Linked DNA regions of Xenopus tropicalis. The protein of the gene in region 1 interacts with the protein of each later gene in a pairwise test. Links are inferred from orthologs where the notes say so. Each region holds a gene or a part of one and is shown in the gene's direction. Other genes may lie near its edges.

Region 1 (5,341 bases):
GCAAATTAGATACTCTCTCCCTGTAAAAGGTAATTAAAAATAAAACTGTTTTATTAAAATTGTAATATTGGTGTGCTGATCCTCCTGCTGATATACTGTAAATATATCAACAGTAACTCTGCCGGCACTCATGTTTAACAGATATCCAGTGTGCCTGGGTACAGCCTATGTTGTATAATAATTTAATCAATATAAGGCATAGGTCCATACTTGCTGTCTTAGGAAGCGTGACAACTTTTATTAAGTGCCTTTGTCAAAGTAAAAAAAAAAAGTGTCACTCACCTCCCTTCTTGCCACAGTTTTGTCATGCTTATTAAGACCTTTGAGTGCAGGCCAATGCCGTATATTGATTATATATACATTCATTTCCTGTTGTTACAGGTCATTTAAACACAAAAAGGTTTTTATTTCATATCGCAGACAGAATATTGTGAGCTTGTTTGCTTATGAGTTTATATTTCTTTTCAGATCTAACCTGTGTTTCAAAGGTAAAACTGCATCAATGAAAGAGAATAAGGAGAATTCTAGCCCTTCCACTGCTCCTGCAAGCCTGGACCATGCAAAGCCATGCTGGTATTGGGATAAGAAAGACCTGGCCCATACTCCATCACAGCTGGAGGGGCTTGATCCTGCTACAGAGGCAAGATACCGGAGAGAAGGGGCTCGGTTCATATTTGATGTTGGAACCCGACTAGGGTTGTATCCTTCACTGTAACTTGTCACTTTTCATCTGTATTTTTTTAAAGTATATTTAGAGTAAAATGATATTACATAAGATCTATCAATGACCTGTAAAATATTTACTTCTAAATATTAAATGTGTAATGATGTCCCATGACTTAGTACAGAAACAGTAACAACAAAAAATGAAAATGTATCGAAGTAATTAAAATGTAAACTGTTGCCCTGCACTGGTAAAAGACTGTGTATTTACTTCAGAAACCCTACTGTAGTTCATATAAACAAAACTGCTCTGTAGCTATGGGGGCAGCCATTCAAATTTAAATAGGGATAAATGGCACAGTTTACATAGCAGATAATGGAGAAGCTCTGTATAATACCATTGTATTCTACGTAGCATATCTGTTATCTGCTATATAACCTTTGTTTTTGCTTCCCTTTCCATCTTGAATGGCTGCCCCCATGCTTACACTTCAGCTTATTTATATAAACTAGTAGTGAGAGATCCAGCTGTAGGATGGAACACCCAGATGTGGAATTAATTCAGATTTAGGTTCCTATATGTAATATGCTCCTGGCTTTCTTTCTTAATTAGGTTCCTGTGCTTTAAAGTTTTTTTTTATTTGCAAATTTGGTCCTACACAATCTGACCCCAGCAAGATCATTGGCTTGATAATATTGTGGTGGTATATATTCTTAACTTTCAACATAGACATTATGATACCCTTGCAACTGGAATCATTTATTTTCACCGGTTCTACATGTTTCATTCCTTCAAGCAATTTCCTAGATATGTAAGTATTATATGTATTATGTTGAAATGTATAAAAAGTGATGGGATTAAAGTTTTCGCTTCAAACTGTGGATTTAATTTCTATGTTCTCTACTAAACTGATTGTTTCTAAATCAGATATGCATGACATTGCCCTTTTAATTTTTTTCCAATTTGATATTTTCTGTTTAGTGTTAGTCTGTGAGACTTGCTGCAGAATGTTATTCAGTTTTCCAAAGTACTGCCCTATTTTGCCCAGGTCAAAATCTTTTTTTTTTTTTTTAACTTTTGAAAGGTAATGAAAAACCCTCTCATTCCAGCTCCTTTGCTAAGGAAAGAATGAATCTCCATCTAATTTGCTTGTAACCTGGAGGAGGGGAATCATAAGGGTCTGTTTTAGCTAAGGGTCATGCATTTTGAATGTCTTAGGTATTCTCCTTCTCCTTTAACGGTTTGTCCCCCCCAAATACCGTGCTTTTATTTTTTGCTGCGCAGCTCTTAAGAAATACTGACCAGTTTAGCCAACTTGTCCCCTACTGGTATGCCTAGGTTCTAAAGTAAACTTATATAACTTGGCATAATGGGTAACTATACCAGTTACCCATTATGCCAAGTTATATAATTTTATGTAACAAGTTGTTGAATGATAAAAAACTGCATGATTAATCACTTTTTTAACATTTGGTTTCAGGTGACTGGAGCTTGCTGTCTTTTTCTGGCTGGTAAAGTTGAAGAAACACCTAAGAAATGTAAAGATATTATCAAAACTGCCCGTAGCTTACTAAATGATGTACAATTTGGCCAGTTTGGGGATGATCCTAAGGTATGCTCCTGAAAAATGTGTGAACCATACAGTTCCATGTAATATTTAAATTAATGTAAAAGTGTGAATTGGAATTTTTCAATTGTTACTGATTAACCTAAATAACTTTCAGTAATTCTGCTTTTGGGTTGGTACCTAGAAGTACTCTGTATACATTATACATATCTCCAAGGGCATTACATTGGCATATGTTCTAACAAGCTATCATTGCATAATCTTAAAATCCGTAAAAGGGCACAGGGATTGGGGAGGAAGGGGGTGCATTTATTTATCACTGACTAGGCAGACCCAGGTTTTCTTAGAGATTGCTTTTACAGTGTTTGGAAACTTCAAACCTTGTTACAAGTCTGGATATGTGTAGCTATTTTATTATTAAAAAAAATACTACTTGTACAGCCCCCAGAATAACATACCTTTCTTGCTGCATCTGGATTAATTTAGTTTCTCTATTACAGCCAGTTCAACTATATCTCTTTTTGGTCTTTCCTTGTCTAGTATGAAGCTCTGCTACCTTTTGTTTTCTGAGCACTCCTCTCTCTGACTATCATGACCTCAAAGAGCTGCCTACTGCACATGCCTGATTGATTTTCATTGAAGAAGAGGCACCTCTTAGAGGTCTTTGTAATGCAAAAGGTGGTGGAGCTTCATGCTAGACAAGAAAGTAAGTAAAAGAGCTGCAGTTCAGCTGCTTGTAATAGCATGCAGGAAGAAAATTATGTTAAAAACAATTTCTAATTCACAAACTTAAAAAATTGATAAATAAGCCCATAAATGTACATTGAACATACACACACAAAACATCCAATAAAAGTTAGGGGGCTCTGGCCAAGATGTTAAGGGTAACTGTTCTGACTATTCATTTTACATCTTTTGTAAATTAAACAAATAGTATGCATTTCTCAAAATACACTGTAGAATCTGTTAAATCGAAAACACTTTTAAATATCAAGTTACAGTTTAGCTATTGTGTTGTGACTTTATAAATACTGCTGCTTTTACTATATAGACTTTTCCCTTTTATTACCACAGCATGTCTTTTGTAGCAATAAACCATTATCTTTCAGTAACTGTATTTCTTACCTTATACCAGATAACTCGGTTTGTTCTGCTTTGTAGGAGGAAGTCATGGTCCTTGAGCGAATTCTTCTTCAGACAATAAAGTTTGACCTCCAGGTGGAGCACCCTTACCAGTTCCTTCTTAGATATGCCAAACAGTTAAAAGGTGCGGAGTATGTCCTAAAAGAAGAGCTTTGATTGTAGCCCTTGTGTTACTGCTTATAACATTTTTTTGTACTAATTTATTTAATTTTTTTAGGCGACAAGAACAAAATACAGAAATTGGTTCAAATGGCGTGGACTTTTGTAAATGACAGGTAAAGTACAGTTTATCTATTGCTTTTGAAAAAGGTACTAAAGTCCCAACTACCTTGCTATAGGTTATATTATATAGTGCATTGCTGTACATGCACTCTCCTTGCTTCTCTATAAGTTACAACCTTGATTCCTACAATCCCCAGGATACTCCTGTTTTGACAGTTTCCCCTCTGGTTCCAGGTTATGCAGTTTCATGTGATACCTGTTAATAATACAAAAGCAATATATGATGCAACAGAATCTAAAACTATGTATTTTGTACAGTCATACACAAGACTTTATTCCCCTGTGTACAGTGTAGTAATTAAGGGGTATATTTATTAGTGTTTAAGCCAACACCACAGGAGATGTTGCCCATAGCAACCAATCAGATCTTTGCTTTTGTTTTTATCTTGTAGGTGACCATTCAAATCTAATTGCTGATTAGTTGATATGGGCAACATCACCAATGGTGTTGGCTTACACTTAAATATACACTGCTCAAAAAAATAAAGGGAACACAAAAATAAGACATCCTAGATCGGAATGAATTAAATATTCTTATTAAATACTTCATTCTTTACATAGTTGAATGTGCTGACAACAAAATCACACAAAAATTATCAATGGAAATAAAATTTATCAACCCATGTCTGGATTTGGAGTCACACTCAAAATTAAAGTGGAAAAAAACACTACAGGCTGATCCAACTTTGATGAAATGTCCTTAAAACAAGTGAAAATGAGGCTCAGTGTGTGTGGCCTCCACGTGCCTGTATTACCTCCCTACAATGCCTGGGCATGCTCCTGATGAGGTGGCGGATGGTCTCCTGAGGGATCTCCTTCCAGACCTGGACTTAAAGCATCCACCAACTCCTGTACGAGACATGATGTCCCAGATGTGCTCAATTGGATTCAGGTCTGGGGAACGGGTGGGCCAGTCCATAGCATCAATGCCTTTGTCTTGCAGGAACTGCTGACACACTCCAGCCACATGAGGTCTAGCATTGTCTTGCATTAGGAGGAACCCAGGGCCAACCACACCAGCATATGGTCTCACAAGGGGTCTGAGGATCTCATCTCGGTACCTAATGATAGTCAGGTTAACTTTGGCGAGCACATGGAGGGCTGTGCGGCCCCCCAAAGGAATGCCACCCCACACCATTACTGACCCACTGCCAAACCAGTCACGCTGGAGGATGTTGCAGGCAGCAGAATGTTCTCCAAGGCGTCTCCAGACTCTGTCACATGTGCTCAGTGTGAACCTGCATTCATCTGTGAAGAGCACAGGGTGCCAGTGGCGAATTTGCCAGTGTTGGTGTTCTCTGGCAAATGCAAACGTCCTGCACGGTGTTGGGCTGTAAGCATAACCCCCACCTGTGGACGTCGGATCCTTAAAACACCCTCATGGAGTCTGTTTCTGACCGTTTGAGCAGACACATGCACATTTGTGACGCTTTGGAGGTAATTTTGCAGGGCTCTGGCAGTGCTCCTCCTGTTCCTCCTTGCACAAAGGCTGCTGGGTTGTTGCCCTTCTACGGCCTCCTCCACGTCTCCTGATGTACTGGCCTGTCTCCTGGTAGCGCCTCCATGCTCTGAACACTAAGCTGACAGACACAGCAAACCTTCTTGCCACAGCTCACATTGATGTGCCATCCTGGATGAGCTGCACTACCTGAGCCATTTGTGTTGGTTGTAGACTCCGTCTCATG
Region 2 (5,655 bases), on another chromosome or scaffold:
AACAAATAAGTCATGTTGTCTTAGAATACAATCATCTACAGTACTGGATTATCAATGCTATTTGTAGCTATTAAATATGCACAAGCCCACATGTGATTCAGTTGCCCAGCAGTGGGAAAAAGAAATGTAGTAGCCCAATGTGTGACCAATAAAGGAGTGAAGGGAGGCACTGAGCTGCCATCAGGCAACTTAAAAGTCATATTTACTGCAATGATTTATTCTGCATCATTCTGCTATGAGTTCTAGGGGTATTATATGAAAAATTGCCACTGCTTTCATTATATATTTACAGAGGGTGTATCTGTAAAATGGGGAGTGGTTTATTGGAGCTGTGTCTTCAAAAGTGGGCATGGCCTAAAAGTCTTGCTGCAAAGTGAAATTTTTTACCTCCCTCAATCCCCAGATTTCACTCTTGTGAAATCTTGTGACACTACTATAGTTTCATAGCAAAAAACAAATTCAAAGCTGAGGAGGTGGATGGTTGTTATCATCAAGAGTGCCTAGAGCAGCAAAAACTGTAAATATGCCCCTGCTCCTAATTGGACTTCTGGACTGTTGCTTTGATTGTGCTCTGAATTACAGTAAATAGAATGTGATTTTACTTGCTGTACTTTCTTTAGACTTTGCCCTGTTTAGTGCAAGAACTGATGAAAAATACATGCCTTAGTTAAAATAATTGGAAAAAGCCCTATTCATTGAATTAATATTGAAAAAAATGGTATACTGTTCCTTTAAAAACCAAAACCGGTTAAAGAGAAAGAGAGAGGGCAGAACATGGCTAGCGAAATGGAAAAAGTCTATGTAGGGGCCTATACTTACATTATGCTTAAAATAAATCTAATGGTCTTCTTTCTTATATTTATCACACATCTTCCAGATTTCCAACTCTTATTTGCTCTTCTTTGTATTTTTTTTTCTAGATGCATCAATCTTCACACTTAAAGAAATCCAACTACAAAAAGACCCAGGGCACCGTAGCTCCATTTTTCATCATGCAGGTATCAAATCAAAACTGTGTTAAGTAAAAATTACCAACTGGAGCATAAAGAGAACTTGTGCTTAAAAGTAGCCATTTATTTTATACTGTATATAAAAGCTTTGCCTTGTACCAATACTATCCCCTTCCCTTTAGAGTCCTATTTAAAAAACATTGAGGCAGAAACATTTCAGTGGGTTGTGAAAAAAAGTAATTTCTGAAAAGCTTCCATAAGAGTTAGAACTGTTATAGAAATCCTTTACTTTAGCAAAAAAAGTTCCTTTATTTTTTCTTATATTATTATAAAGTCCTTAAAGGAGAATGCAAGTCAAAATTTAAAAAGCATACTGCCTAATAGTCCTCATATTGTTTAGTAAAAACGCCACACTTTTGGCTCACCTAATCAAATATTTACTCAGTCACACTTAGGGCTCTGGCACACGGGGAGATTAGTCGCCCGCGGCAAAACTCCCTGTTCGCAGGTGACTAATCTCCCCGAGTTGCCTACCCCTGCCATCCCACCGGCGAACATGTAAGTCGCCGGCGGGATTGCAGACGCGGCGGGGCGATTTCAGGAAATTGCCGAAAAAGACTCGCGATTTGCGCGAAATCGCGCCGCCGCTTCTGCCATCCCGCCGGCGACTTACATGTTCGCCGGTGAACAGGGAGTTTTGCCGCGGGCGACTAATCTCCCCGTGTGCCAGAGCCCTAACTTCACATTTTCTACAACAGGCAGCCATCTCTAAAAAGGTATTCTCCCTTCCTTTCCCTCCTTGCTTCATACTGCACATGTGTTTCATTCCCTCCCCCCCCCTCCCCTCTGCCAGATTTGCTTCTTATTGGCTGGTGGGCATGTGTAGTTCAGAACAGGAGACAGGATCAAGTTACACACATGCTAAGAGAATAGGAAGGCTGCCGCTGGCAGCCTACAGGAGGGACAGAGAGATGTCAGTGATGTCACTGTAGTCTTCACACTGCTGTAGGCTGCCAGCACCATATCTCAGAGAAGCAAGCAGGGATCTGGGAATTTAGATATGCAGTAAGTACTTAAAAAGAATGCCTTTAGACTTACTTTTAATTTATTTTAACCTGTTATTGTCCTTTAAAGGGTTTCTGTCACAGGAAAAAAATTACTTTTTTAAAAAATGCATCAGTTAGTAGCCCTCCTTCAGCATAGTCCTGCATTGAAACCCATTATTTACATGGATTTTTAAAGCAAACAGATTTCATATTGAAATTTGGCATGGAGCTAGATATGTTCTTAGTTTCCCTGGTGCCCTCGGCCATATCACTTGTGCTCTGCTAAACTTCCTGACACCTCTAGTGGTAGATATGAGAATAGCACTCAATGGTAAAACACCCAACTCTGCCCATGATTCCTTCAGTTACCTTGAGTAGAAGAAACAATAGCTTATCTAAAAATACAGGATCAGGTACAATGACCTAAGGTGGCTGCCCACAAACCAGTATAACAACTAAAAAAAATACATTTATTGGTTCAAGAACACAATTTTAAATGATAGAGATTAAAATTATTTGAAACGTGCACCTGTAATTTAGTAACAAAACTACACCATAAAAATCATGACCCTTAAATTTTTAATAATAGTCTCAGCTGAAGTGCCTACTTTTTTTTGGTGTTACTGTTCCTTTAAGACTGGTGTGCAGTAGGATAGGATTAATTACATGGAGTTTAAAGCAATGTGGCCAGCTAATACCACTTACCATGGATTTTATTATTTAATGTAATTTACATTTAAATGATAGGCTGGTTAACTCGCGATAAATTATATAAAAGTTGAAATGTAATTATCTTTTTATTTACAGCTCGTGGGAAGGCCAGAAGACAGAGCATATTTTAGAGGTGGCGCTGGATGAACAGAGAGCTCCCTGGAGAACCCTGCGCTTGATCCTTCTTCCCAAGACACTACTGCAGTGATACAGTATACACCTTTGAGTATTAGCTAGAACTTGCCCTGCTGCAGTGAGTCTTGTGCCAAATGTAATTAACTGGGTGTAGATGGTCATGTTCAGGGACCAAAGGAGAGTTAAGAGATGAGTTTCTTCTCTTCCAAACCCCACTAAAGCCTTATTTTAATTATATAGATCAAAAAAAGACAGAGTGAAATTACTCAGGGTGGAAATGGTGGTTCATGGTTGGTCCTTTTTGAACAGCAAAAACATTTCTGGGACTTCTAACACTGGATTCACACCACTGAATTCTGTGCTCTCACATTCCACAGATCAAAAATAGTATTAAAATGAACAGCAACACTCCTTCCTTTTTTCACCACAGATCTAAGCCAAGGAGATGGTGGTGTCTTCCGCTCTTAAAATATTTTCTTATTGTATCCTTTTATACCTAAAGATGCATTCCAAATTATATTAACCATATGGTGGAAACAAATAAGGCTGGTGCCTCAAATATATTTTTACAGTTTTATCATTACACAGAAAGGCATACAGGAAGCATGAAAGTAACATAGTGCAGATTCCAGGTGCCATGTTGTGACACAGTGCCACATATCCCATGTAAATTGGTGATAACCTGGGATACTGGGCTATATAGGGATAGCAGCATTTACATGTTTTAACAATTGTTTTTAAATGTGAAAAATAGAAAGATATTGTCTAGCAAATATTTTTCACAAAATGGGAAATGCACACCAACCATCCCACCAAACTTTGCTCTGTGAGGCCTTTATAGTAAAAACATTTTGTGTGTTTGATTCTCTGGTAAGATTGGTACCATGTGAGGTGGGATGATGCTTAAAGTTTTCATATTGCACTATAAGACTTAAAGGTCAGCCCTTGCCATGCATATTGTCCTTGCCACTGAACATTGTGAGCCTGCTGAATTCAGTAACAAAATATGTGACTAATGGTATGCCATTTATTAATTTTATAATGGCATTCATCATACACTGATTGATCAAACCATAACAAAAGGTTACATAGCCACCAAGCCATTATGATTGGTTCCAGATTTGAAACATGAGCTAAAGGTTAAAGTAAAATCTGATGACAGTGAACTTGTTCCACCTACATGTATGTATAACATTATTTATAAAGCTTGACATGGAAATGTAGTGCTGTAAAACAATTACACACAGGTTTGACAAGTATTATAATAAATAAAATAAACAAGTATAAATTTACAGAGAGGTGTTGTGTGATAAGAGACACAGTAGGAAGGAAATCCCTGCCTTGTGATACTACTTTGTTGTAGTAAAGCATATCTAGCATGTTATGAGTAATTCATGTAGAATATTATGTACATCCACATGCCCTAACACTTTACTGTTGGGATTTTTATTATCTGCACATCAGCAGGCTTAAGATTGCTTGAGCCTTGGGGCTAAGGCAATCATATAAAGGATATGCCTTGTGGGTGCCTTTACTTACATGGGGCTTCCTTTATGATTGCTTGAGCCAAAAGACTCAAGCAATCAAAAATCTTCCCCCCATGTATACCACTAATTTTGAATTATTTGTGGAGTTTGAAAAATTATAATATCTAAACTGCACCAAGGCTCTTAGAAGTAAGAAACTATTTTGTAATGATTTAAGGACTCAATTACTATTTGCAGCACAGGATGCAAACTAAAAAAAAACAGAGGGAAAGCCACTTTGCACCCTATCCTGCTGTCTGCACCCAAAGGGTCACTACAAAACTCGGGTTCAGGGTGTAAAGGAGCCCTGTCAGATTTTAAGCCAGTGTGAGGTACAAAGCCCAGGTATGCCCTGGACACACATCTTTTCTGAATGAGCATTAAGGTGCCCCTTGTGCTTTAGCATTTTAGTATTCAAAGCATTAACAATGAGGCCCTTAATTTCATGGCACATTTAACAATTCTGCTCTAAATGTATCTGGAAACAGGGTAAGTCAAATGCTAGGCCCTCTGAGGATTATGTCACATTGGGTGTTTAAGTCAGTTATGTGTCCCTGTAGTAGCAACAAAATGAATCCCTTCAAGTCACTACTCCTTGAAAGTACAGAACAATGTAGCATTTAAAGGTCAACCAAATGTTAAATCACTGGGGATGTACCAATTTGTTGGGCATCCCAACTGACTGAAACTACCAACCATGTGCCCTGGGATGGTGTGCCTCTTCTGTAAATGCACCAGCACAAGCTATTTTGTTTTCACCTTATCTTTAAAATAAGATATAAAACATTACCATGTGGCTCTTTAACTGGCCTGCATTCTGTAGCTTTGTTGCACCTTTTTGATCTTCTCATCTGTTCCTGTATCATGAGAAGAATTTAGCAAAGAGGCACCTGGGTATCTTTATAATATCATCCTGCAAGTTTTCAGTTTGATTTTTCCAAGCAGAAATAGGAATCATATTCCGTACATACAAGTTGCTTATATAACTACTTTATCTACTTTGAAGAAAACATTTCATAAATAACTTCAAATTAAGTTAGAAAATAGTTAATAGAATTTGGGTGCTACAAAGGAGAATGCCTTCTAACACCTAGTGATATGCATTACTTCACCTAAAAATACTGTAGCTGCATTTCTCAAACAAGAAGTCTTTTCCTATTTGTTGTAAAATAATGAACATGTGTATTTTGTATACTGTACATTATAAACAACTTGTATGTTTGCTCTAGTTTTCCTTTAAGATGCAGTGAATTTCAAAATCATTCATGTATGAGTGAACGAAAAGGA

What was found. The genes of interacting proteins can lie anywhere in the genome.
Region 2: the proteins of ccnk (region 1) and cdk18 interact in binary tests that used the Homo sapiens proteins (3 or more experiments, as listed by UniProt). The two-hybrid records come from large-scale screens. The link is inferred for Xenopus tropicalis from reciprocal best matches to the Homo sapiens genes CCNK and CDK18.

The regions. Positions count from the first base shown.
Region 1 is NC_030684.2:90,617,504-90,622,844, forward strand, and holds part of ccnk (cyclin-K), read left to right. Parts: intron 1-468; 5' UTR 469-502; coding exon 503-699; intron 700-1,393; coding exon 1,394-1,475; intron 1,476-2,144; coding exon 2,145-2,276; intron 2,277-3,392; coding exon 3,393-3,498; intron 3,499-3,591; coding exon 3,592-3,649; intron 3,650-5,341. UniProt on the Homo sapiens protein: Regulatory subunit of cyclin-dependent kinases that mediates activation of target kinases.
Region 2 is NC_030678.2:73,259,812-73,265,466, forward strand, and holds the end of cdk18 (cyclin-dependent kinase 18), read left to right. Parts: intron 1-920; coding exon 921-998; intron 999-2,803; coding exon 2,804-2,838; 3' UTR 2,839-4,134; downstream 4,135-5,655. UniProt on the Homo sapiens protein: May play a role in signal transduction cascades in terminally differentiated cells.